Linked DNA regions of Arabidopsis thaliana. The protein of the gene in region 1 interacts with the protein of each later gene in a pairwise test. Each region holds a gene or a part of one and is shown in the gene's direction. Other genes may lie near its edges. The genes, in order: SPIK, AT5G13400, CHX6A and PTR1.

Region 1 (6,721 bases):
ATGATGAACATTTGATGGAGCTAAGAAATCTCAAGTCTGCCGGTACCCACAGTTAATTTTGTTAGTATCTATTATATCTTTTTGATCCTTGACAGTCTTATCTTCAGGTGTTGGCCATACTTCCCTGCAATGTGGAATCAACTGTTGTATATTGTTCTGTTACCGGAGGATTGTTAAAATGATTGTATAGACAGCAGAAGGGAAATAACTCTGACTGAAAATTTCAAATCCTCATTGTGATGTTTTCTTCTTATAGTCTAATTTTCTTTGTTGTACTTTCCGGATGATTAAACTTAAACAAAAGTTACAGTATCTGTGTTCTAAGATGAGTCATGTCTTTTCTTCATATATATACTTTAGTTTATTGTGTTTAAGCTTCTGGATAAGTCGAGTCATTTGTCTTCTCCTCATCAGTGATGGATTATTGAACTTACCTTACATTTTTCAGGAAAACTGTAGCCATGTTGGGTGACTGCAGATCTTGCTTGCTTCTAGAGATCTTACTCTGATGCATGAGGTTAACTGAATGGTGCAAAACACAATGCCCCTTCTTCCTCAAAATTCATAATTTAAATTGTGCTGTGTTTTCTTTTTGGCTGTACATAACTGATCTGTTTCAGGTGTTCTTGGATATATATACCCTCTTTACACAGGCTGTGAACTGTTCCTAGCCGAAGGATAATCATTTACAGTCTGCAGGTTGGATAAGTTTGCCGACGATTGGTAAGTATTAGGTTGAAAGTTCTTTATGAACTGTGTCTATCTGAGACAGTATTGAGGTTGTGTGGAATACTTTTACTCTTTCAGCAAATGTGACCAGTAGATTGTGGAACTGTCCATGCTTGTTTGTTGGTGGTATATGTACAGTTGGCCTGGTCATCAAAATCTACAGAAAAGTACTCAATTTTTATGAAATCAAGGCTATGACATTTCAAGCTGAATTACCGAGGTGCGGGGATTCAAACGTTAGCATAAATATTATGATCGGTGTGTATAGACCTCTGCATAAATCAAACGTGTCTAGCTGCTCGCTTGTCAAATCCAACTTTTTCCCTATGTCTCAAGCTTAAAGAAATTGAAAAGACTCAGAGAGGAAGAAGAAGCCTTGCGAATTGCGATGTTCTTATGCCATCACTATCGGTTTTATATTCGCTTATACTCTACACTAAGAAAAATAATCGAATTGAATATTTCTGATTCTTTAGAACTCATGTTAATTCAAAATTTTATGGTTGTTACAAAACTTATGAACAACATTATGATCTGCATTAACTTATAATGTTTTCAATGTGTTCTATGTAAGATTGACATTATTTGGAACCACCTGTTTTACTTATATTATTTTATTCTTGACTTGAAGTTGATTTGTGGCTTCTACATGTCACTAGCTTGAGTTTCACCAGAACTTCATAAAATCAAATTCCTTTGCAACTTAAAAGCATCAGAGAAACCAAACAGAAAAGCAGTAGCAGAAAAAGTTACTTGGGTTGCGTTATTGATTTTATTCAAAGCCAACAGACGCAAACATGTAACTAACACAGTTACCAAAACTGTCACAATTAAGCTTTCCAAGTACCAGAGTAGATTGATTCCAGGAAATGATTATCTAAATACCAATTTGCGCATAAACCAACCTCCTCCTTCTTTCTCGATTTACCAAGCGTTTTTGGATTGTAGTCCTCCTATTTGAATTTTGCCAATTATTGAACAACAGAAACTTGTATGATGTTTTTAAGTATTGGTAATATTAGTATGTTTGGGGGACAAACAAAAGCCTAATTAACCAAAAAACTATAGTTAATATTCAGTTCCCAGAGCAAAACGGAAAAAAACATGCCAATTTGTTAATTTTGAAAGTTTCTATGAGCACTAAAAGACCAATGAACCGAAATATACTTGCTATTTTTGTGGCTACAAAAGCAGAAAAAGGAGGGAAAATAGTTACCTGTTGGGGCCCACAACAAAAAAGAAAGAAACAAACGTAACAGAAAAAAGGATATAAAAGGAAATTCGAAACCGGCGAATTCGGAGAAAAAAAAAAAAAAACCTTGCGTGTTTATCCGCAAGGGATTTTGATTTTGGAAAAAGAAAGAGAGAGGGATCTGAAGCATGGAGAAGAAGAAGGTATGGTTTTGGGGTGTGAAAGACGACGGCGAAGGAGGCGGAGGCAGAGGAGGAGGAAGAACCAAAGATGCGGAGGATGATGTTGCTGACCATTTATCTCGCGACGGGACGATGAGTCAGTATAGCCTTAGCAAAGGCCTTCTTCCTTCTCTTGGAGCCAACAATCGTTCCTCTCGTGACGTCATTCTCCCTCGCTTCATCGTCTCTCCTTTTGATCCTCGTTACAGGTCCGTTTTTTCAAATTTTGACTCTGTTTTAATCTAATCGCTAAATTAGGGTTTAGCTGAGGTAAAACATTATTTTTCAGAGCGTGGGAGACGTTTTTGGTGTTTTTGGTGCTCTACACAGCTTGGGCATCACCTTTTGAATTTGGGTTTCTGCAAAAGCCAAGACCACCTCTCAGTATTCTCGATAACATTGTCAACGGGTTTTTCGCTGTTGATATAGTCTTGACATTCTTTGTTGCCTTCTTGGACAAGGTAACTTATCTTCTTGTCGATGATCCAAAGAGAATAGCTTGGAGATATGCGTCGACTTGGCTGATTTTCGACGTGGTTTCCACATTTCCTTACGAAATTTTTGGGAGCTTGCTTCATGAGAGTATTCAGGGATATGGTATTTTCAGTATGCTACGTTTATGGCGTCTTCGTAGGGTCAGTAATTGTTTTGCCAGGTGAGTTCTTTGGCCGGTTTATCGTTCCAGCCAAAACGTTTAAATTCCAGCTGAGTATAATATTGATGTCTTCTTTTCAGGTTAGAGAAAGACAGGAAATACAGTTACTTTTGGGTTCGCTGCTCGAAGCTTCTCCTTGTAAGTAGCTATTGTCTACTTGTTTTTTACACTCTTTTTGGTTTCAAATGAACAGTTTTTTAGCTGTGAATTTACAGTATTTGATTTGGTAATGCAGGTTACTCTTTTTGTGATTCATTGTGGTGCTTGTTTCCTCTATTCCATTGCTGCACATTATCCAGATCCATCCAAGACGTTTATGGCATTAACCGATGAAAATTGGAAAGAGTCTCCTATTGCAGTGCGGTATAACACGGCAATGTATTGGTCCATAACTACTTTCTCCACAACTGGTTATGGTGATATACATGGTGTTAACTCAAGAGAGATGACTTTCATTCTTTTCTACATGGTTTTTAATCTTGGACTGTCAGCATATATAATTGGTAATATGACCAACTTGGTGGTTCATGTGACCGGCCGCACCAGAAAATTTGTAAGTTCTATGTACCGGTACTGTTAACTGCACTTCTCTGAAAATTAGTCTGGTCTCAGTGAAGTTTCATGAGTCTTAAGCATTTGCATTATTTTAGAGAGATACCATCCAAGCCGCATCAGGGTTTGGTCAGAGGAACAATCTGCCAGTGCGGTTACAAGATCAGATGGTTGCTCATTTGTGTTTGAGGTACAGAACTGATTCAGAAGGCTTACAGCAGCAAGAAATAATCGATTCTCTTCCCAAAGCTATTCGGTCCAGCATATCACATTATCTGTTCTATGAAGTTGTTGACAAAATTTACTTGTTCCATGGAATATCCAATGATCTTCTTTTCCAGTTGGTATGTTTCCCATAACGCAAGAAGTCCTGCATGCTAAAAGTGGTCACTTTATTCACATTAAGTCTTAACTTACGGTGTCCTGTAGGTCACGGAAATGAAAGCAGAGTATTTTCCTCCCAAAGAAGATGTGATTTTGCAAAATGAAGCCCCAACAGATTTCTACATATTGGTGACCGGAGCTGTTGTAAGTGTTTTTCGTACATTCCTGACACATTCCTTTATCATCATGTATTATTCCTGACACATTCCTATGTCATTCAGGACATAATTGCACGTGTAAATGGAGTGGAGCAGGCAAGTCTAGCTTTTATTATACCGTTTCTTTTTAAGATATGATTGTGTTCTTCTTTAACTTTGTTGCAATTGGAGAACCAAAACATATTTGATAATGTTTTTGTGTATGTGTTTCTTTACAGGTAGTTAGTGAAGCACAGAGAGGACATGTTTTTGGTGAAGTTGGGGTACTATGTTACAGACCGCAGCTGTTTACTGTTCGTACCAAGCGATTGAGTCAGTTGCTTCGTCTGAACCGTACAGTACTCTTAAATCTTGTTCAGGCAAATGTAGGAGATGGAGCAATAATCATGAATAATCTTCTTCAGGTTTGTAATAACTCTGAATAGTACAGTTTGTTTCAACCTGTTGACACACAGGACCAGTTCCATAACAGATATGTTGTGGTTCATGCAGCATTTAAAAGACTCAGAAGATCCAGTGATGAAAGGCGTTTTGGCTGATACAGAACACATGTTGGCTCAAGGGAAAATGGATTTACCTCTCAGCTTGTGCTTTGCTGCAGCCAGAGGAGATGATTTATTGCTGCATCAGTTACTAAGACGAGGCTCAAGCCCTAATGAAATGGATAAGGACGGGCGAACTGCGCTGGTAAGCCCGGATTTCCTTTGTATATACCATCATCCTCCTTTTAATGCCTAAACCAAATTTGCTCACTCTCTATGTTTCTTCTTTGAATATCTCAGCATATAGCAGCATCAAAGGGAAGCCATTATTGCGTCGTTTTACTTCTCGAACATGGAGCAGATCCTAACATTAGAGGTAAGTAGTAAAAAATAATGTTTCACTAGGTCAATTAGCTTAGGATGATAGGATCATGTAGTACTAAATTATCGGTGGCTCGTACATTGTTTACAGATTCCGAAGGCAATGTACCCTTGTGGGAAGCAATCATAGGAAGACATAGAGAAATTGCTAAACTCCTTGCAGAGAATGGAGCAAAGCTAAGCTTAGACTCAGTGAGCTATTTCTCTGGCTTAGCCGTGGAGAAAAACTGCTTAGACGCACTCAAAGACATCATCAAATATGGCGGCGACGTCACACTCCCTGATGGAAACGGAACCACAGCTTTACACAGAGCAGTGTCAGAAGGACACTTGGAGATTGTGAAGTTCTTACTAGACCAAGGTGCTGACTTGGACTGGCCGGATTCTTACGGATGGACTCCTCGTGGTCTTGCCGATCATCAAGGGAATGAAGAAATCAAAACCTTGTTTCATAATCACAGGCCTGTGGAGAAAAAACCGAAACCTATCCCTGGAATACCTCAGAGTCCTGTGACAGGGAAGCCATTAATGAAGTATAGCAGTGAGCCTACAATGCATTCAGGAGAACTCGTCTTAGACGGGGGTCAGGTTGTTGTTTCTCAGAAACGGAAACTCAATAACTTCAGAAACTCGCTCTTCGGAATCATTTCAGCTGCAAATAGCGGTAAAACCACCTCACCTCTCCATCTGCTCTCTAGATACTCGTTGCTTTCTTGTCACGTAACCATAATTTTCAGAACTTTTCACATCACAATAGTCATTCTTATATACAATTCACAACGTTCATTACATTGTTCTGTTCCTTACAAATTTACAAATTTGGTTTTCATTTCTGGTTTTTTTCCAGCTGATGATGGAGGAGAAGTTCCAAGAAGTCCAGCGGTTCCTGGAGGAGGAGGTAGTATGATTTATCCGGAGAGAGTGACGATAAGTTCGCCGGAAAACGGTGAAACTGGTGGAAAAGTTGTTTTGTTACCAAATTCTATGGAAGAGCTATTGAAAATTGGTGAAAATAAGATGGGATTCGTCCCAACTAAAGTACTTACGAGAGAAGGAGCTGAAATTGACGACATCACTCTTATCAGAGATGGCGATTTTCTCCTTCTATCAAGGGATCCTTGATTCACACGCAACTCTCTTTCGATTTTGAGTAATGAAAACTATTTGTCTTAACGCAAACTCGCAAACCACCACAGTCAAGCTTTATGGTGGTGATATGATGCTAATATTAGGGGAAACCGTAAGCCCCAATCAACTCCGGGATTGAAATATCTTTTAGGTTTTTTTTTTTTGCTTTTGTGTATATATTCACTGCTTACTATTTTTCACATGTATATATATATATATCCTGTTGACTATTTTCTGTTAAAAGAACTCTCTAACAACCTCATGATATTAACATCGAAATCTACAAGAAGTATGGAAACAATCTTGTTTTTTTCAGAAAGCATACAAGGATAAAGGTCCTTTCTTAAACGTCTAGACAATCTTCTTCTCTAAGTCTCTAAGAAGAAGCAAGTGTTAAAATTTATAACTTTTGTGCGAGGTCGAGATTTGAGAGTAACTCCTCACTCATCTTTTCCAATCAAGCTTAAATCCTCTCTAGGTGACTTATCCTATTTCTGAGATGAATTATCATCTCATCTTTCATTTTTGTTTAGATCCATGATGGTAAAGTGATATTGATGGGACTTGGGAGCCAAAGCATTACCGAAAATGAGCACAATGATTGAGATAGAGTTAGAGACAACACACACTATAATATTATTATTATTTCATGCTTCAAATGCAAGAAGGTAATATTTGAATCAGACTCTAGAGAGCTTAATCTGCTCCCATCTCTCTGACCAATACGAAACATCCGCAATCTGCTCAATCAACCTAAAGAGGTGAAGTTGTATTTTATGTCTAGTTGAATTAAAACCCTTGTCAAATTAGACAATGGTTTAAGGTTGATGAGAATTTGA
Region 2 (4,765 bases), on another chromosome or scaffold:
AAACACAGTCTGGTCTTCAGTATAAGGTCACCCCTCATTAGTCCCATATCTTATATCTAATATAGTTTAGACTATGCGGTGATCATTAACTTGAAGATTTGAGATGCTGCAGGATTTGCGAGTAGGAACTGGGCCTATAGCAAAAAAGGGAGACAAAGTTGTGGTAAGGAAATTTCTGCATATCTATGGTTTTGTATCCTTGGTCTCAAGTTTATCTAGAAGTTTGCTCTGGTTAGAGAGTTTGGAGTTTGCTTTGCTTGTATCTATGTTAGCAAATTAATGTTTCAAAGACCATAGGTTTTGCTAGTAGTTATAAATAATTGAAGCTGGGTATGTTAGGTTGACTGGGACGGTTACACAATAGGGTACTATGGACGCATATTTGAAGCTCGCAATAAAACAAAAGGGGGTTCTTTTGAGGTATAAACACGTTTTGGCTCTTTTTTTTTTTGTTTCATTAGCTACAATGATACAGTCCTTAATCTTTGTTTTCTTTTTGTGAATCTGTAGGGCGATGATAAGGAATTTTTCAAATTTACCTTAGGATCCAATGAGGTGGGCGAAATTCCAAGTCCTTCTAGTTGCTATATGGGTTTTACCGGTTTAAAGAATGGATTTTGTTACTGATTGTATGAATTGTTTCTTTCTGGATGCTGCATGATTTTGGTGTTCCAGGTGATACCTGCTTTTGAGGAGGCTGTCTCTGGGATGGCTCTCGGTGGTATCAGAAGGTTCAACATCTTTCTAATATTTCTAACTCTACACATCCTCCATATGTTTTTCATATAGAACTCACTCTTCACACAAATGGTAGACGGTAGAATGAATCAGTGTAAATAATTAGCTTGGTATTGCAGGATAATTGTACCGCCAGAACTAGGATACCCGGATAATGACTACAACAAGAGTGGGCCGAGGCCGATGACTTTCTCTGTGAGCCTTATGTTTGTTTTATGTAAACATGTATAAGAAAGACATAAGTTTTAAATGTTGTCTCTTTATGTTTGCGCAGGGACAACGTGCATTAGATTTTGTGCTGAGGAACCAAGGGCTCATAGACAAGACACTTCTCTTTGATGTTGAACTCCTCAAAATTGTACCCAATTGATGTAACATCGACAGTCTTAACTCACGTACATATATATTTATTTATGATGTGTATACTACATTGGCACATTTGTGTAAATTGAGCTCAGTTTATATCATATAATGTTAGCTCTTTTTAGGAGTGTTAAAAAAAAAAATAGCCATGCATCACCAACTAACTGTTCATCATGTTAATTCTGCTTCCTCTTTTTAGTTATATTATCCCTTATAGTGAGGTAAGTTATTATAACATTTCATAGAAAGTTTAGAATAAAATGAAATGTGAACACAAAAACCAGTGTAAGCAGCTTCTGTTGTTTTGACTTTATTGAGTAGCCAATGTTGGTTCAATGTCAGAGTCATCATTAATGGAGACTGCAAAAATAAAAGAACAAGTTGCAGTGACGCATTGTAGAAGTCCTTCAATGAGTTTATGTCTTTCAAGGACAAAACATATCAAATGAATCCACATTTCTCTAAATAAGTCCTTTCTTGAACGTTGAAACTGTGGACATCATGGGAGTCCACGTGCAATAAATGCCAGTCCTATATCTACCACTTACCAGCTAAGCTCCGTCTATTTAATTCCATCTTCCCATTTTAAGCTACTGCATTTATACATTTCTCTAACCAATCCTCATACATCCTTTTCTGCTTACAGATTTTGTTTGGCTGGATTAATTATTTCATTTATTAACTTAAGCTCTCTTGCTGTTTTTGGTCACTCTGATGCTTTCAGTTTCCATGGTTTTATGAGAAAATATCATTGATTATGGTTGCTTCTGAGATTAAATCCCCGGTGAGTGTCCCCGAGACTCCGGGAAGCTCCTCTGTGCATCATAGGAAGCAGTTGAGTGTGTTCTTCATAGAATCAGATAACAGACGTCTTGCTCTTGGCCGTGGCTATACCGGAGGAACCACTCCCGTTAACATCCATGGCAAACCCATCGCCAATCTTTCCAAAACCGGTGGTTGGATCGCAGCTTTCTTCATTTTTGGTAACTTTCTTTTCACTTACATCTAGATTATCAGTAGTTCTACGTGCAGTGCAGCTTAGTTTTGGTGGAATGGTTGCAATGTTTTAGGAAATGAAATGGCAGAGAGAATGGCGTATTTCGGACTCTCGGTGAACATGGTGGCGTTCATGTTCTACGTAATGCATAGGCCTTTTGAAAGTTCATCAAACGCAGTCAACAACTTCCTTGGCATCTCTCAAGCCTCCTCTGTTCTTGGAGGCTTCTTAGCCGACGCTTACTTGGGTCGATACTGGACTATTGCCATCTTCACTACCATGTATCTTGTCGTAAGTAGTACTGTTTTGTTCTCTGTATTTTGTTTATTTATTTATTTATGACTTATGGTTAAGGTCTTGTGCAAATGGTGCAATTTGAAGAACATCGTCTAATACGCAAGACCGAACATATGTTATGTGATGGATACTTTGAAATCTTTTCTTTTCTTTTGTTTTGCATGTGAAAAGGGTTTGATAGGAATAACATTGGGGGCAAGTTTGAAGATGTTCGTACCAGACCAGAGCAACTGTGGCCAGTTATCATTGCTCTTAGGAAATTGTGAAGAAGCCAAATCTTGGCAAATGCTTTATCTCTACACGGTTCTCTACATAACCGGATTCGGAGCTGCTGGTATAAGGCCATGTGTTTCCTCATTTGGTGCTGACCAGTTTGATGAGAAGAGCAAAGACTACAAGACACATTTAGACCGTTTCTTCAACTTCTTCTATCTATCGGTCACTTTAGGCGCAATCATTGCCTTCACTTTGGTGGTATATGTTCAAATGGAACTTGGTTGGGGTATGGCTTTTGGCACATTGGCCGTAGCCATGGGGATTTCTAATGCTTTGTTCTTTGCTGGTACACCGCTTTATCGGCATAGGTTGCCTGGTGGTAGTCCCTTGACTAGGGTAGCTCAGGTCTTAGTTGCCGCTTTCCGCAAACGAAATGCAGCTTTCACAAGCAGTGAGTTCATCGGTCTTTACGAAGTTCCTGGCTTGAAATCTGCTATTAATGGCAGTCGTAAAATCCCTCATTCCAATGATTTCATGTAAGGCTTCTTCTTTTGTGTACATCTTCCTATAAGGAAAATAAAACTTAATACTAGTATTTATCAGTCGAATGAATTCATATGCAGATGGCTAGACAAGGCGGCACTTGAGTTGAAAGAAGATGGATTGGAACCATCTCCATGGAAGCTATGCACAGTAACACAAGTAGAGGAAGTGAAGATTCTGATCAGATTGATTCCAATCCCAACATGCACTATAATGCTGAGTCTGGTCTTGACTGAGTATCTTACACTCTCAGTGCAACAAGCTTACACACTCAACACACACATTCAACACCTCAAGCTTCCAGTGACCTGCATGCCAGTTTTCCCAGGCCTAAGCATTTTCCTCATTCTCTCCCTTTATTACTCTGTCTTCGTCCCTATCACCAGAAGAATCACTGGCAATCCTCATGGTGCTTCCCAGCTTCAAAGAGTGGGCATAGGGCTAGCAGTTTCAATCATATCAGTAGCTTGGGCTGGGCTATTCGAGAACTACAGGAGACATTACGCGATACAAAATGGTTTTGAGTTCAACTTCTTGACCCAAATGCCTGATCTAACCGCGTACTGGTTGTTAATCCAGTACTGTCTCATCGGAATCGCAGAGGTTTTCTGCATAGTAGGGCTATTGGAGTTCCTTTACGAGGAAGCTCCGGATGCTATGAAGAGTATTGGTTCGGCTTACGCTGCTCTAGCCGGCGGGTTAGGGTGTTTTGCTGCCACCATTTTGAACAATATTGTCAAGGCTGCGACTCGGGACTCAGATGGGAAATCGTGGTTATCGCAGAACATAAACACGGGGAGATTCGACTGCTTGTACTGGTTGCTCACACTTCTGAGCTTTTTGAATTTCTGTGTGTTCCTTTGGTCAGCGCATAGGTACAAGTACCGAGCTATCGAGTCTGAGGAAGACAAGAGTAGTGCTGTTCTTTAAAGACACCACTTCTGTGTTCTCTTCTCGTTATTCTTTTTGATAAAACAGCAGTAATTGTATCATCCTACTTTGCTTTCCTATAGCTAATGTTTAAGGGTGGAAAATCCGCTAAACGTGATTGTTCGTTTGTAAGAAGACCAATAAAATTAAGTTGTTCAAACGTCGTATATTGGCAATTTCCAATGCATCCACTGAGAAACAAAGCTGGGAAATGAAAACACTGTTTCACAAATTCTGTTACAAAAAGGGTCGAAAACATTACTAATCAATCCTACGACTGTCTAAATATACCTCAGCCCTTTCATATATTGTTGCCTAGATATCACATACTGAGCCGCAGAGTAAACAATGCCTAAAACTCCCAGAACCCTAACTTGAAACACGTCTGTTATTATTACGGCTGCAAAGCTAAGTGGCACGGTCAGCATCGGCGACGCGTCTGTGTGTTTGGTGGTGTAACTCCAAACGTACCTGTTGAATATGATGTGACCTGGTGCTGTGAGTATTAGGAGAGCCAGGTTCTTCACCGCAAAAAACCATTCACGGCCTCCAATTTCGACTCCCCAACCTGTGTTTCCACCAAACCAAACTTCTTCCCATACAGTGTAGAGCGAGGATAATGCCAAATATGTTGATATGGCTACTGTAACCGGGAAGTATCTCTGTTTATCACCAAACCCG
Region 3 (5,836 bases), on another chromosome or scaffold:
CCGGTCTTATTCAAACAACGTCCTAATCGCTTTTGATAACTTCAAACATTACTGGAAATCGATATCGCTGGAATTGTTCACATGCATCTCAAACCCTAGGTACATGCATCAAGAGATTTACTCGCTCGCTCTCGACAAACAAGCTTCTTTTCTCATGCTCCCTTTCCACATTATATGGTCCCTTGACCAGACAACGGTGGTCTCAGACGATGTCATGCGTAGGAACGCTAACTTAAATGTCTTGAGACAAGCACCTTGCTCCGTGGGGATCTTTGTCCATCGTCAAAAGCTTTTATCTGCGCAAAAGAGCAGTCCGTCTTTTGAGGTAACACATATTTGAAGGTTTGATTGTTCCATACGCTAATCATTAGTTTCCGTGCTTGAATTTGTGTTTACGTGTGAAACTTGATTTGTCTAAAACCAGGTCTGCGCAATTTTCGTGGGCGGGAAAGACGACAGAGAAGCCTTGGCATTGGGAAGGCAAATGATGAGGAATCCGAATGTGAACCTGACAGTGTTGAAGCTAATCCCAGCGAAAATGGATGGGATGACTACAGGGTGGGATCAGATGCTGGACTCGGCAGAGGTTAAGGAGGTTCTGAGGAACAATAACAATACTGTTGGACAACATAGTTTTGTGGAATACGTAGAGGAGACAGTTAACGACGGTTCCGACACATCAACACTCCTTCTCTCGATTGCTAATTCTTTTGATTTATTCGTGGTGGGGAGGAGCGCCGGAGTAGGGACCGACGTGGTGAGTGCATTGAGTGAGTGGACGGAGTTTGATGAGTTAGGTGTGATTGGAGATCTGTTGGTGTCTCAAGATTTTCCCCGTAGAGGGTCGGTGTTGGTGGTGCAACAACAACAGAATGTAGCTTGTAGATGATATTACATTGGCAACTACTCTTTATTCATTTATAAGATACAAAAAATAGAAATACACTTCTCACACGAGACACATTTGTAGCCCCAAATTTTTAAGTGACAGTTCGTCTCCGTGGCCTTGTGATGATAACATTTGCAAATATGACTTTAAATTTAATTGATTCCACATAATTTTTTAAAAACAATGAAATCAGAAAAAAATAGTACATGTTTTATAATTAAATTAACATTCAATGTGAGAGTTACATCTATTTACATGTTTTACAAGTTTTAATCTCCTTTTCGCTATACAATAAAGAAAAACGGCAAAAATAAGCAAACTAGACAAATAAATTACATAGCAAATTAGTATATAGTCTTAAAAGACCTACTTGCCACCAATTTGATCATTAAAAATGATGAGAATTTCACGCACGTAGTATACATTCAATGAAATTACCCAATTAAAACCTTTAGAGGAATCTATTACCAACCAATAGGAATTGAGTTCAAAATGGTTTGTAGGTGATTTACACTTGTTCTCATTTCTTTATAGTCTTAAGACCACAAATACGACTAGCCAATGAATATTTAATGCCTAACTACTTGGAAGAATCTTAATCCTGTGATTATGCTTTACGTATACGTAGGGTTCAAGCATTAATTAGTAATTTTGAATTTGGAGAAATTTTATAAGAGAGTAATTTGGTATCCTGACCTAGGTACAATATTCTTTAGTTTATATTGTTATTTATCTTACCCTGCCTTGATTAGTAAGACTCTTTTAGTATCCATTTTCCTTTGCTATATTATTTGGTTTAATTTGCATGCTTAGCTGTTTGAATGACTTAATTTGTATGGTGATTTTAAAGTATAAGTTCCTATTTCACCAAACATAGAAAAAATTGTCAAAACAAAAATATATATATCCCTGAGAAAGTGTGCAAGTGGATGCAAAATTCCCTAAATATATATCGTTATATGTATAGCTTTGGCGTTGTTGATTGGTGAAATAGACGATGTACAATCATACGTGTGCTAATGTTGACAAGGAACAAGAGATGGAGAAGAATGAAGCTATAAAAAGAAAACAAAATGGGTAAATATTAACTGTACCTGAGATGCGTATCTGTTGTTTGCTGGTTATTCGACCTTAATTAGTCAACGTTTATAACAAAACCATCCCTAGTCTTCTTCTTTCCCAATCGAATTACAAACCCTAAATCATTCCATTAGATCTTCTTGATCCCTAAGCAAGTCTCTTCGTTAACTTTTGTCTTTCTCCTTAAAATGGCTACAGAGGAGATAGACATGAGTTATTGGGACGTGTCATGGGGAGAATTCAATGAAGACAAGAACTCGTCTATCTTCTGCGAGTCACACCCTCACATAGTAAATTCGCACGGGATATGGGAGGTTATGACTTTCAAGAGAGGGATGAACTTCTGGGAATATCCGCTCCCGAATCTCGAGATCTTAATCTTTTCTACTTTTTTTATATGGCGGCTTCTCGACATCTCATTCAACAAAATTGGTCTTCGAGTACCTAGATTCACATATATGATGATCGTGAGTTTTCTTAATCTCCCTCTTCCCTCCACGTTTTAAATTTTAAAATCAGTACGGTGCATATTCCTAAACGTTGTAATGCCTTGTTGTTGAAGGCAGGGATAATTTTAGGTCAAACTTGCCATTTCAGCAACAAGTCTTGGATCCATGACATTTTTTTCCCTGATGATAACCGACCAAAGGTGGCCGAGACCCTAGGGGCTTTCGGCTTCGTTTTATATTGGTTCCTCAAAGGTGTGACCATGGATGCCGAATTGCCATTTAGGACGGAGAAAAGGTCTAGTGTGATCGGATTCATTACAGTAATTATACCCTTGATTTGTGGCAGCCTCACTTTTAGATATAGAGAACGAAGAGGGGACTCAAGCATATTAAGGATGGAATACAGGTTGATCATATTCTTGCAAAGCATATCCGCGTTCACGAGCATCGACACACTCCTAAAAGACCTCCAGATCAAACACTCAGAGTTTGGGAGGATAGCCCTCTCTGGGGCTATGGTGACTGACATGTTGGCTTTTGGTGTAACATTTTTTAATGCAATCTACTACGAAAAATTGTACGGCTTCATGCAAACCGTAGGTTTCTGCCTCTTTGTCGTCGTTATGATATGCGTTGTGCGGCCGGCTATGTATTGGGTGATCAAGCAGACTCCAGAAGGGAGGCCGGTCAAGGATTTCTACCTCTACTCGATTTTTGGGATTGCTTTCGCCTGCTTCACTTTTTTTAACAAGGTTATTCATCTTTTTGGACCCGCGGGATCATTTGTTTTCGGCTTGACGGTTCCAAATGGATATCCTTTAGGTACTACTTTGATTCAAAAGTTTGAGAGCTTTAATCTTGGCTCTATTTTGCCACTCTTTGGATCATTAACCATGATGCAAGTAGATCTCTTACGGTTGTTCAAAGAGAGTGGAGATTTAATACGGATGGAGGGTCAAATCTATGAGGTCATTTCCTTTATTCTTTTGGTGAATACCACAAAATTCGTTGTTACCACCATAACCGCGTATGCTTTTAAAATGCCCTTGAGAGACTCTTTTGCTTTAGCCCTTGTGCTTAGTAATAAGGGGATCTTCGAGCTCGCCTACTACACGTACGCGGTTGAATTAAAGGTGCGTACAATTAAACTCTTCTATATATATTTAAAGTCAGAAGAATTAGTTTATTTTCATAAAAATTAATCAAATCTTTGGACATGTTTCACAGCTAATAAGGCCAGAGGTTTTCACAATCCTAGCTGCCTACACCCTCTTGAACTCTATCTTTATACCAATGCTCTTGGAGCTCGTGCATGACCCAACCAAAAGATTCAGATGCTACCGAAAAAGGAATTTGGGCATCTTGAAAGACGGTGCGGCTCTCCAATGTCTTATGTGCGTCTACAGACCTGATCACATAACTTCCATGACCGACCTCTTGGAAACTTTTAGCCCATCACAAGATTCCCCAATGGCGTGTAACATACTTCACCTCGTCGAGCTTGTGGGTCAAGCCAATCCTATGTTCATTTCCCACCAGTTGCAAAAACCAGAGCCCGGAAGTACTTCTCTGTCTGACAATGTCATAATCTCCTTCCGTGGCTTCCAAAGACAATTCTTTGAATACACATCGTTGGATATTTTCACTTCCGTCTCCGTGTCCCAACACATGCATGAGGACATTTGTTGGCTAGCCCTATCCAGAAGCCTATCTTTGATTGTGCTTCCTTTCCACCGAACCTGGTCCGTTGATCGATCCACGGTTATCTCCAACGATGATAATCTGAGAATGCTCAACGTTAACGTCCTGAGACGAGCCCCATGCTCTGTTGGAATCTTCGTCTATCGCAAGCCCATCGTTGAATCTCATATGGCTAAGTCCCACAGCAAGGTGCTTTTCATTTTATTTTGAAAACTAATTAATTATCCGTTTGGGTACGTGAAAATACAAATTTCAGAATTTTATAAAATCTAAAAGAATATTTTTGCAACGTCTAAATGAAATTAAATGCTGAAAGAAAATCTTTTCATTTTCCTTTACCATTTATGATGAACAAAAGAAATGGTACTAATATATTAGCATTTTTAACCTGATAAAACTCTCATCTTTGCAGATATGTTTGATTTTTAACGGTGGAAAAGACGATAGAGAAGCTTTGGCGATAACAAATCGAATGAGACTGACAGAAAAACGAACAAGGCTAACGATCATAAGATTCATTCCAAAATCTTCTGAAATGGATAACGATGAGTGGGAGCAACAGCAATCGATTAACCTAAAGGAGTCCGTGACTAGCATCGTTGGGTCCAACATCAAAGAAAATGATGCCAAGGTGACATATATCGATAAGGCGGTTTCTGATGGATCTGAGACCTCAAGAATCTTACGAGCAATGGCAAATGATTATGACTTGTTTATCGTTGGAAGCGGCAGCGGAATAGGAACTGAGGCTACTAGCGGAATTAGTGAATGGACAGAGTTCAATGAATTGGGACCTATTGGAGATTTATTAGCATCACATGAATATCCTTCAAGTGCATCAGTGTTGGTTGTTCAAAAACAAGTGTACATTCATCATACAAAAAGCCAAAGGAGAAAATCTTTCTAAGAAATAATGCGAGATATGTTCAATGCTCAGCTTTTCAATGTTGTATTTCTCTACATCAATAAACATTAGTTTTAGGCTGCTTGAAGTTATGGAGTAATTGATTCGAGTTTCTTCTGGATATGATGATATAAACTTCACGATTTTTTTAATCAAATTTTGAGTTAACAAGATTAGAGTAATTTCTTGTGGCAGTGCCTGCTCTATGATAACGCCTTCCAACTATAGCTGCCTTTGTTATCACAATTCAAAAATATATATTCTCTTGTAGTAACAGGGTCTGTTTAACATACACACTTTGTCACGTTATAATTAAGTTTAGTATGTGTTAGAGATATCAGAGGGAACAGAGCAAAATACTCTGTTTTTCTCAACAAAAAGAGATTTTGGTACCTAACAGAGTACTCTGCTCTGTTCCCTTTGATAAAAGATTGAATTTGAGGTCTTAATTAATGGATCATCTTATTAAAAATGGGTAAAGCGTTTATTTAGACTGCCTAAAGAGGTCATTTTATTTTAAAGTAATACAACTTACAAGCGCCAAAAACAAAGACAACACCTGGACGAGACAATCCCTATATTTATACCCTTATCCTAATTTTAGAGATCCTTTGGGATCTGTGTGAAACCATCAGACCGGTTTTAATTTTAGTTCTTTTTTTGACTGCAAAATCTTTTCATTGTCAATTTTTTTTTTTGTTCTTTTTGGTTTTACGTAGACAAGATTTGTCCCAAATGGATGCAGAAAATGCGACTTGGCGCAAAGAGTTCATGTGGAACAACGATGAGAAAAGAGCAGAGATGGGGACGAAG
Region 4 (5,655 bases), on another chromosome or scaffold:
ATATCAGTTCATTATTCCGTATTAAAGCCGTTGGTTTTTGTACAACTGAGTAATAAAGTTCATGTTGAGTATGTCAATTATTGGATTTGGGAGTTCCAAAGAAAATTTTGAAGACTTTATGTAAAATGGAAACATCTGGTGGCGAAAAGAAATGAAAATTGGAGTTTCCATTCACCATACACAAAACAAAAAAAAAAAAAAAAAAAAAAAAAGCCTAGATGTAACCTTTCTTTAGCGGTCATAATATAATGTTTTCGTGGATGTGAATTCTTGACGCCCAAAAATAAGGAATTTTTAATTCATTTATCTAACCTTTTGATAAAATAAAATAAAACTACACGCTTATTTCAGGTTTGATCTGTTGTGAGATTAGTTACAACTTTTTAAAAAGTTAATGGCAAACAAAGTTGTCGTCGATAGTGATGATACCTAGATTACCTTTTAGCTTTTCTTTCTAGAGAGTTATCTTCCCAAACAGCTCTCAAGTATACGTTTTAGCTAGCTTAGAGAATTGATCTTAATTTCAGAAAGAAAAAAAAAAAAGAATGCTTTGAATTGAAGCACAAATTGGTTTTTCTTAATTGGATTTGAAGAATCAATGGATTAGACTAGAATCAAAAGGTCAACTACTATGATTCCCGTGAAATAATAATCAAATATGAGTGATCCAAATTTCTATATAATTGCACATCATTGATTTGTGGATCTATCAAGTGTTATCTTTTACTTATATTTTCAGTTAGATCTGACAACAATTTTCGTACTTATTCTATTAAAGTTGGACCTCGCAACAACCTTTCATATCAACGTTGAAGTTTTATAGTTAATTATTAGTTCTTGATTTTAAAATGTGTCAAATGATATAATGATTAGTTCAAAGTTCAAACCACTGATCAAAGATTACTTACTCACGTTGCACAAAATCCACCTTGAAACATCATAGTCTCGATGTCACATCCCAACAACTAGTTAATGTTTTAACAAAAAAAACAAAAACTAGTTAGTGTACTTCAAAAGTATATATTGGTATAACTGATTAGACGAATATGTAAGAAAAGTTGACTACAAGAGTATGGAAGCCGTGGTAAGACTTCCAATGAAATAAAAGCAATCAAAGCACACTGTTTTTTACCTATTTTATTTATTTATTTATTTTGTTTGCAACTAAACGTCATCAATTTAAAAATTGTTAAATACATCAAATATGTTTTCTTTATAAATATCAAATTTGGTCAGATATATTTTCTTTTTCAAATTTAGCTTCATAAACATCAAATTTTACTTTTGGTTTTGTCTCTTTAGTTTGTTGGGCTTTTGGAGTAAAGAGTTCAAGTCCAACAACTAAGTCGATAAACAGCCAAATCCTCGTAGATAAACAGGATCCAGCTACATATGTCGATTCACATGCATCTTTTAATATTCGTCCTCGGTGAATCTTTAGATCAACGGTTACTTTATTACTAATTGTCATTAGCACCTCTTATTTTAGCATAACCAAATCAAACACCTTTAATTATCTTTCTAATATCACTACCCTAGTTTATATTTTAAGATCCACTGAGACCTTAAAGCTGAAACAATGTTTTTAATCGAGGGAGTGATTAGAGATTTAATCAAATGGATTTAGACTGAACCACCAAATTGAATATTGAATCTAGTGATGTTTTTGGCTTTATTTTCACATATCCAAAATCAAACATCAACCAAAACCAAATTTAATAAACCTAACTATTTTTTTTTTTCAAAATCGACAATCTGATATTTAGAGTATGAACACAAGTTTCAAATAAAAAAAGAAAGAGTATGAACTCAATTTTATAAGAAAACTCCAAATCATCTTATTGACCAAAGTGTTTGTATTCACACTTGTATCTTTCTTGTTTTGAGTAGGAGTTCTTTCTTGTTATCTTTCTGGTAATGTCAATTCCGTAATATCGGATAAAAAACAAAAAGAGTCCACTAAAGTTTTGGTGGATGATTAACACGTCCTTCGATATTGATCTATTTACACTTTGGAGTCAAAACAAGATAATATCAAAATCTGATAGCACAATAGGCCTTGCGGCTCTAACTGAAATATACAAAAACTCAAAGGGTTAAACTGCAAACATGAGAAGAAAAGTGAGCAACGCTCCTTTCTATTTCCTTGGATATAAAAGCTGTACGGGACCAGAGCTCTGCAAGTCTTTTTTATAAGCTCATGCTCATTATTACTCCGACAAGTGCCGTGTAATTCCTCGCCCTCGGCTACTCTTTTCTCTTCTTGCCTCTCGTCTCCGCCGCTGATTCAGCTGCCGCCGACAAAGGTTTCTCCCTTTTTTCTAAGTCTTTTATGAGTTTTCCTTTCGTTACAAGTTACAACCATAACCTCATCTGGTCACACATAAACTATAATTTCAGAGCATGAAAATTTCGTACTTGCTTGCTTCATCTGCATATTTCGATCTAAGCATCTACTAGTCAATTTCTTTCACGTATATTTTTAAGGGTTTTCTCATAACCTTATACCTGAAGTATGGATCTCTAAATTGGGGATCTTTAGGTATGTGTTTGGTACATCTTTCTTGAAAAAGCTAAACTATTTTTCTTTATTAGGAATATGGAAGAAAAAGATGTGTATACGCAAGATGGAACTGTTGATATTCACAAAAATCCTGCAAACAAGGAGAAAACCGGAAATTGGAAAGCTTGCCGCTTCATTCTCGGTAACGTTCTAATCGTTTCACCAATCTTTTTCTTCATTATTGCCGTATAGGACCTGGACCAGCTTAAGTAATGGCCTCTCGTGTCCCCTGTTTTTTAAGGTCCACTAAAAACATTTACATGTAAATAATAAATGTAATGATTAAAAAGAGATTATATACGATTAAAAGCAAATTGAATGATAGAGAACAAATAAAATTTAAAATATTATTGGAAATGTTTAGTTTTGTAGGGTGATCACTATGAAAAAAGAGTTATAAACCTAAAATCTGCTCTGTTTTCTTCAAAAAAATTGTCTAAATAAAGAAAGGGCCATTATATTTTTTTATTATATAGCTTGGGCCCTGATTGGATCTATCCATATAAGATTAACCAGTTTTATGTGTTTTGTGTAGGAAATGAGTGCTGTGAAAGATTGGCCTACTATGGCATGGGCACTAACCTTGTGAATTATCTTGAGAGCCGTCTGAATCAAGGCAATGCTACGGCTGCAAATAACGTCACGAATTGGTCTGGAACATGTTATATAACTCCTTTGATTGGAGCCTTTATAGCTGATGCTTACCTTGGACGATATTGGACTATTGCAACTTTTGTTTTCATCTATGTCTCCGTGAGTTTTACTTGTTTCTTATCTTTTGGTTAAAAATGTGAATCTTTTGGTTAAAACTAATTAAGTTTGTTTTTTCTCTTGAAGGGTATGACTCTTTTGACATTATCAGCTTCAGTTCCTGGACTTAAACCAGGTAACTGCAATGCTGATACTTGTCATCCAAATTCTAGTCAGACTGCTGTTTTCTTTGTCGCGCTTTATATGATTGCTCTTGGAACTGGCGGTATAAAGCCGTGTGTTTCGTCCTTTGGAGCTGATCAGTTTGATGAGAATGATGAGAATGAGAAGATCAAGAAAAGTTCTTTCTTCAACTGGTTTTACTTCTCCATTAATGTTGGAGCTCTCATTGCTGCAACTGTTCTCGTCTGGATACAAATGAATGTTGGTTGGGGATGGGGTTTCGGTGTTCCAACAGTCGCGATGGTTATCGCGGTTTGCTTTTTCTTCTTCGGAAGCCGTTTTTACAGACTTCAGAGACCTGGAGGGAGTCCACTTACTAGGATCTTTCAGGTTATAGTAGCGGCTTTTCGGAAGATAAGTGTTAAGGTTCCAGAGGACAAGTCTCTGCTCTTTGAAACTGCAGATGATGAGAGTAACATCAAAGGTAGCCGGAAACTTGTGCACACAGATAACTTAAAGTAAGAAACTAAAGTTTGAATCTTTATCCTAACTTCAAAAATACTCTGTTTTCAAATCTAAAGTTTTGAAAACATCTCAGGTTTTTTGACAAGGCAGCGGTTGAGAGTCAATCTGATAGCATCAAAGACGGGGAAGTCAATCCATGGAGACTATGTTCTGTTACTCAAGTTGAAGAACTTAAGTCAATAATCACACTTCTTCCAGTTTGGGCCACAGGAATAGTCTTCGCCACAGTGTACAGCCAAATGAGCACAATGTTTGTGTTACAAGGAAACACAATGGACCAACACATGGGAAAAAACTTTGAAATCCCATCAGCTTCACTCTCACTTTTCGACACTGTCAGTGTACTCTTCTGGACTCCTGTCTATGACCAGTTCATTATCCCGCTGGCAAGAAAGTTCACACGCAATGAACGAGGCTTCACTCAGCTTCAACGTATGGGTATAGGTCTTGTGGTCTCCATCTTTGCCATGATCACTGCAGGAGTCTTGGAGGTTGTCAGGCTTGATTATGTCAAAACTCACAATGCATATGACCAAAAACAGATCCATATGTCGATATTCTGGCAGATACCGCAGTATTTACTTATCGGTTGTGCAGAAGTTTTCACCTTTATAGGTCAGCTTGAGTTTTTCTATGATCAGGCTCCTGATGCCATGAGAAGTCTCTGCTCTGCTTTGTCGTTGACCACGGTTGCGTTGGGGAACTATTTGAGCACAGTTCTTGTGACGGTTGTGATGAAGATAACGAAGAAGAACGGTAAACCGGGTTGGATACCGGATAACTTGAACCGAGGCCATCTTGATTACTTTTTCTACTTGTTGGCAACTCTCAGTTTCCTCAACTTCTTAGTGTACCTCTGGATTTCAAAACGCTACAAATACAAGAAAGCTGTTGGTCGAGCACATTGATCAAGAAACTGGTGTGGAAGATATTTGGAGTTAACAGTATTTGTTTGAAAAGTGTTTTGCTTGTAAATGTTTTTTGTATGTGGTCTAGTTGTTGTTGGTGTGTTAGGTTTGTTTTGGTTTTGCTTATGTATTTCTGAATACTTCCAGTCTTCCACTTATATGTAAAAGGCTATTGGTAACTATTTTATGAGCTTTTTGCTTAAAGCTTTTTGACCGTCTGATAATATGTCCTCCTATATTTTGCCATTGCTCTTAAGAAACTTATTATATACATTGGAAGTTATAAGCAATAAGCTGGGAAATAAAATCAAAAACTAAACAACAGCATGGGAAATCTTAACAAAAAGCAAAGCACATAGGATCCTATTGTCAATACATATGTAAACTTACTACTAGACATTAAACAAAGAGATCAAGTATTTTCTTCTGTTTCTTTGAAGATGTCTTTACTTTTGACTATATATCTGAACTGTTTGGAAAATGCTCAAGATCAGGATGCATAAGGAAGCCCCCTTGGCTTCTTGGAGGTTGTCTAACAAGATTGAGACAAGCAAGCGTCAAAAACAGATTTTGATTCTGGGGTTTATTTGTTCAGTAAAACCCATGGTTTATATATATATAGTCAGAAACAAGCTTTTTATTGAGCTCAACTATATGCACATAGAAAAAGAGAAAGTTTTTTTGTCATTTTACGAATGTGGTGGTGCGATGAAGCCAGGTTTGGTCACTAAATGAGCGGAAGCGGAAATAGCCAGCAGGACTATCTGGAAATGAAACCAAACCTAA

Evidence for each region.
Region 2: the proteins of SPIK (region 1) and AT5G13400 interact in a protein complementation assay, tested with the Arabidopsis thaliana proteins (one large-scale study listed by BioGRID).
Region 3: the proteins of SPIK (region 1) and CHX6A interact in a protein complementation assay, tested with the Arabidopsis thaliana proteins (one large-scale study listed by BioGRID).
Region 4: the proteins of SPIK (region 1) and PTR1 interact in a protein complementation assay, tested with the Arabidopsis thaliana proteins (one large-scale study listed by BioGRID).

Annotation. Positions count from the first base shown.
Region 1 is NC_003071.7:10,892,494-10,899,214, forward strand, and holds SPIK (Shaker pollen inward K+ channel), read left to right. Parts: upstream 1-1,759; 5' UTR 1,760-2,109; coding exon 2,110-2,351; intron 2,352-2,431; coding exon 2,432-2,797; intron 2,798-2,877; coding exon 2,878-2,935; intron 2,936-3,032; coding exon 3,033-3,350; intron 3,351-3,447; coding exon 3,448-3,693; intron 3,694-3,778; coding exon 3,779-3,877; intron 3,878-3,954; coding exon 3,955-3,987; intron 3,988-4,109; coding exon 4,110-4,295; intron 4,296-4,383; coding exon 4,384-4,578; intron 4,579-4,673; coding exon 4,674-4,749; intron 4,750-4,845; coding exon 4,846-5,418; intron 5,419-5,601; coding exon 5,602-5,876; 3' UTR 5,877-6,179; downstream 6,180-6,721. Other genes in the region: AT2G25590 (Plant Tudor-like protein), read left to right, coding at 672-723, 808-949, 1,066-1,279. UniProt on the Arabidopsis thaliana protein: Highly selective inward-rectifying potassium channel that could mediate potassium uptake in the pollen membrane. Plays an important role in pollen tube development.
Region 2 is NC_003076.8:4,296,173-4,300,937, reverse strand, and holds AT5G13400 (Major facilitator superfamily protein), read left to right. Parts: upstream 1-1,673; 5' UTR 1,674-1,858; coding exon 1,859-2,084; intron 2,085-2,171; coding exon 2,172-2,389; intron 2,390-2,566; coding exon 2,567-3,147; intron 3,148-3,234; coding exon 3,235-4,084; 3' UTR 4,085-4,250; downstream 4,251-4,765. Other genes in the region: AT5G13410 (FKBP-like peptidyl-prolyl cis-trans isomerase family protein), read left to right, coding at 1-26, 113-163, 340-420, 511-555, 676-731, 858-933, 1,013-1,108; NEF1 (no exine formation 1), read right to left, coding at 4,366-4,765.
Region 3 is NC_003070.9:2,551,396-2,557,231, reverse strand, and holds CHX6A (cation/H+ exchanger 6A), read left to right. Parts: upstream 1-2,002; 5' UTR 2,003-2,157; coding exon 2,158-2,436; intron 2,437-2,531; coding exon 2,532-3,551; intron 3,552-3,645; coding exon 3,646-4,308; intron 4,309-4,531; coding exon 4,532-5,026; 3' UTR 5,027-5,297; downstream 5,298-5,836. Other genes in the region: ATCHX5 (Cation/hydrogen exchanger family protein), read left to right, coding at 1-325, 425-889; CHX6B (cation/H+ exchanger 6B), read left to right, coding at 5,759-5,836. UniProt on the Arabidopsis thaliana protein: May operate as a cation/H(+) antiporter.
Region 4 is NC_003074.8:20,045,099-20,050,753, reverse strand, and holds PTR1 (peptide transporter 1), read left to right. Parts: upstream 1-2,008; 5' UTR 2,009-2,306; intron 2,307-2,563; exon of another isoform or gene 2,564-2,595; 5' UTR 2,596-2,599; coding exon 2,600-2,705; intron 2,706-3,098; coding exon 3,099-3,316; intron 3,317-3,400; coding exon 3,401-3,954; intron 3,955-4,034; coding exon 4,035-4,869; 3' UTR 4,870-5,151; downstream 5,152-5,655. UniProt on the Arabidopsis thaliana protein: Peptide transporter. Mediates the transport of di- and tripeptides. High affinity transporter with low selectivity. No transport of amino acids.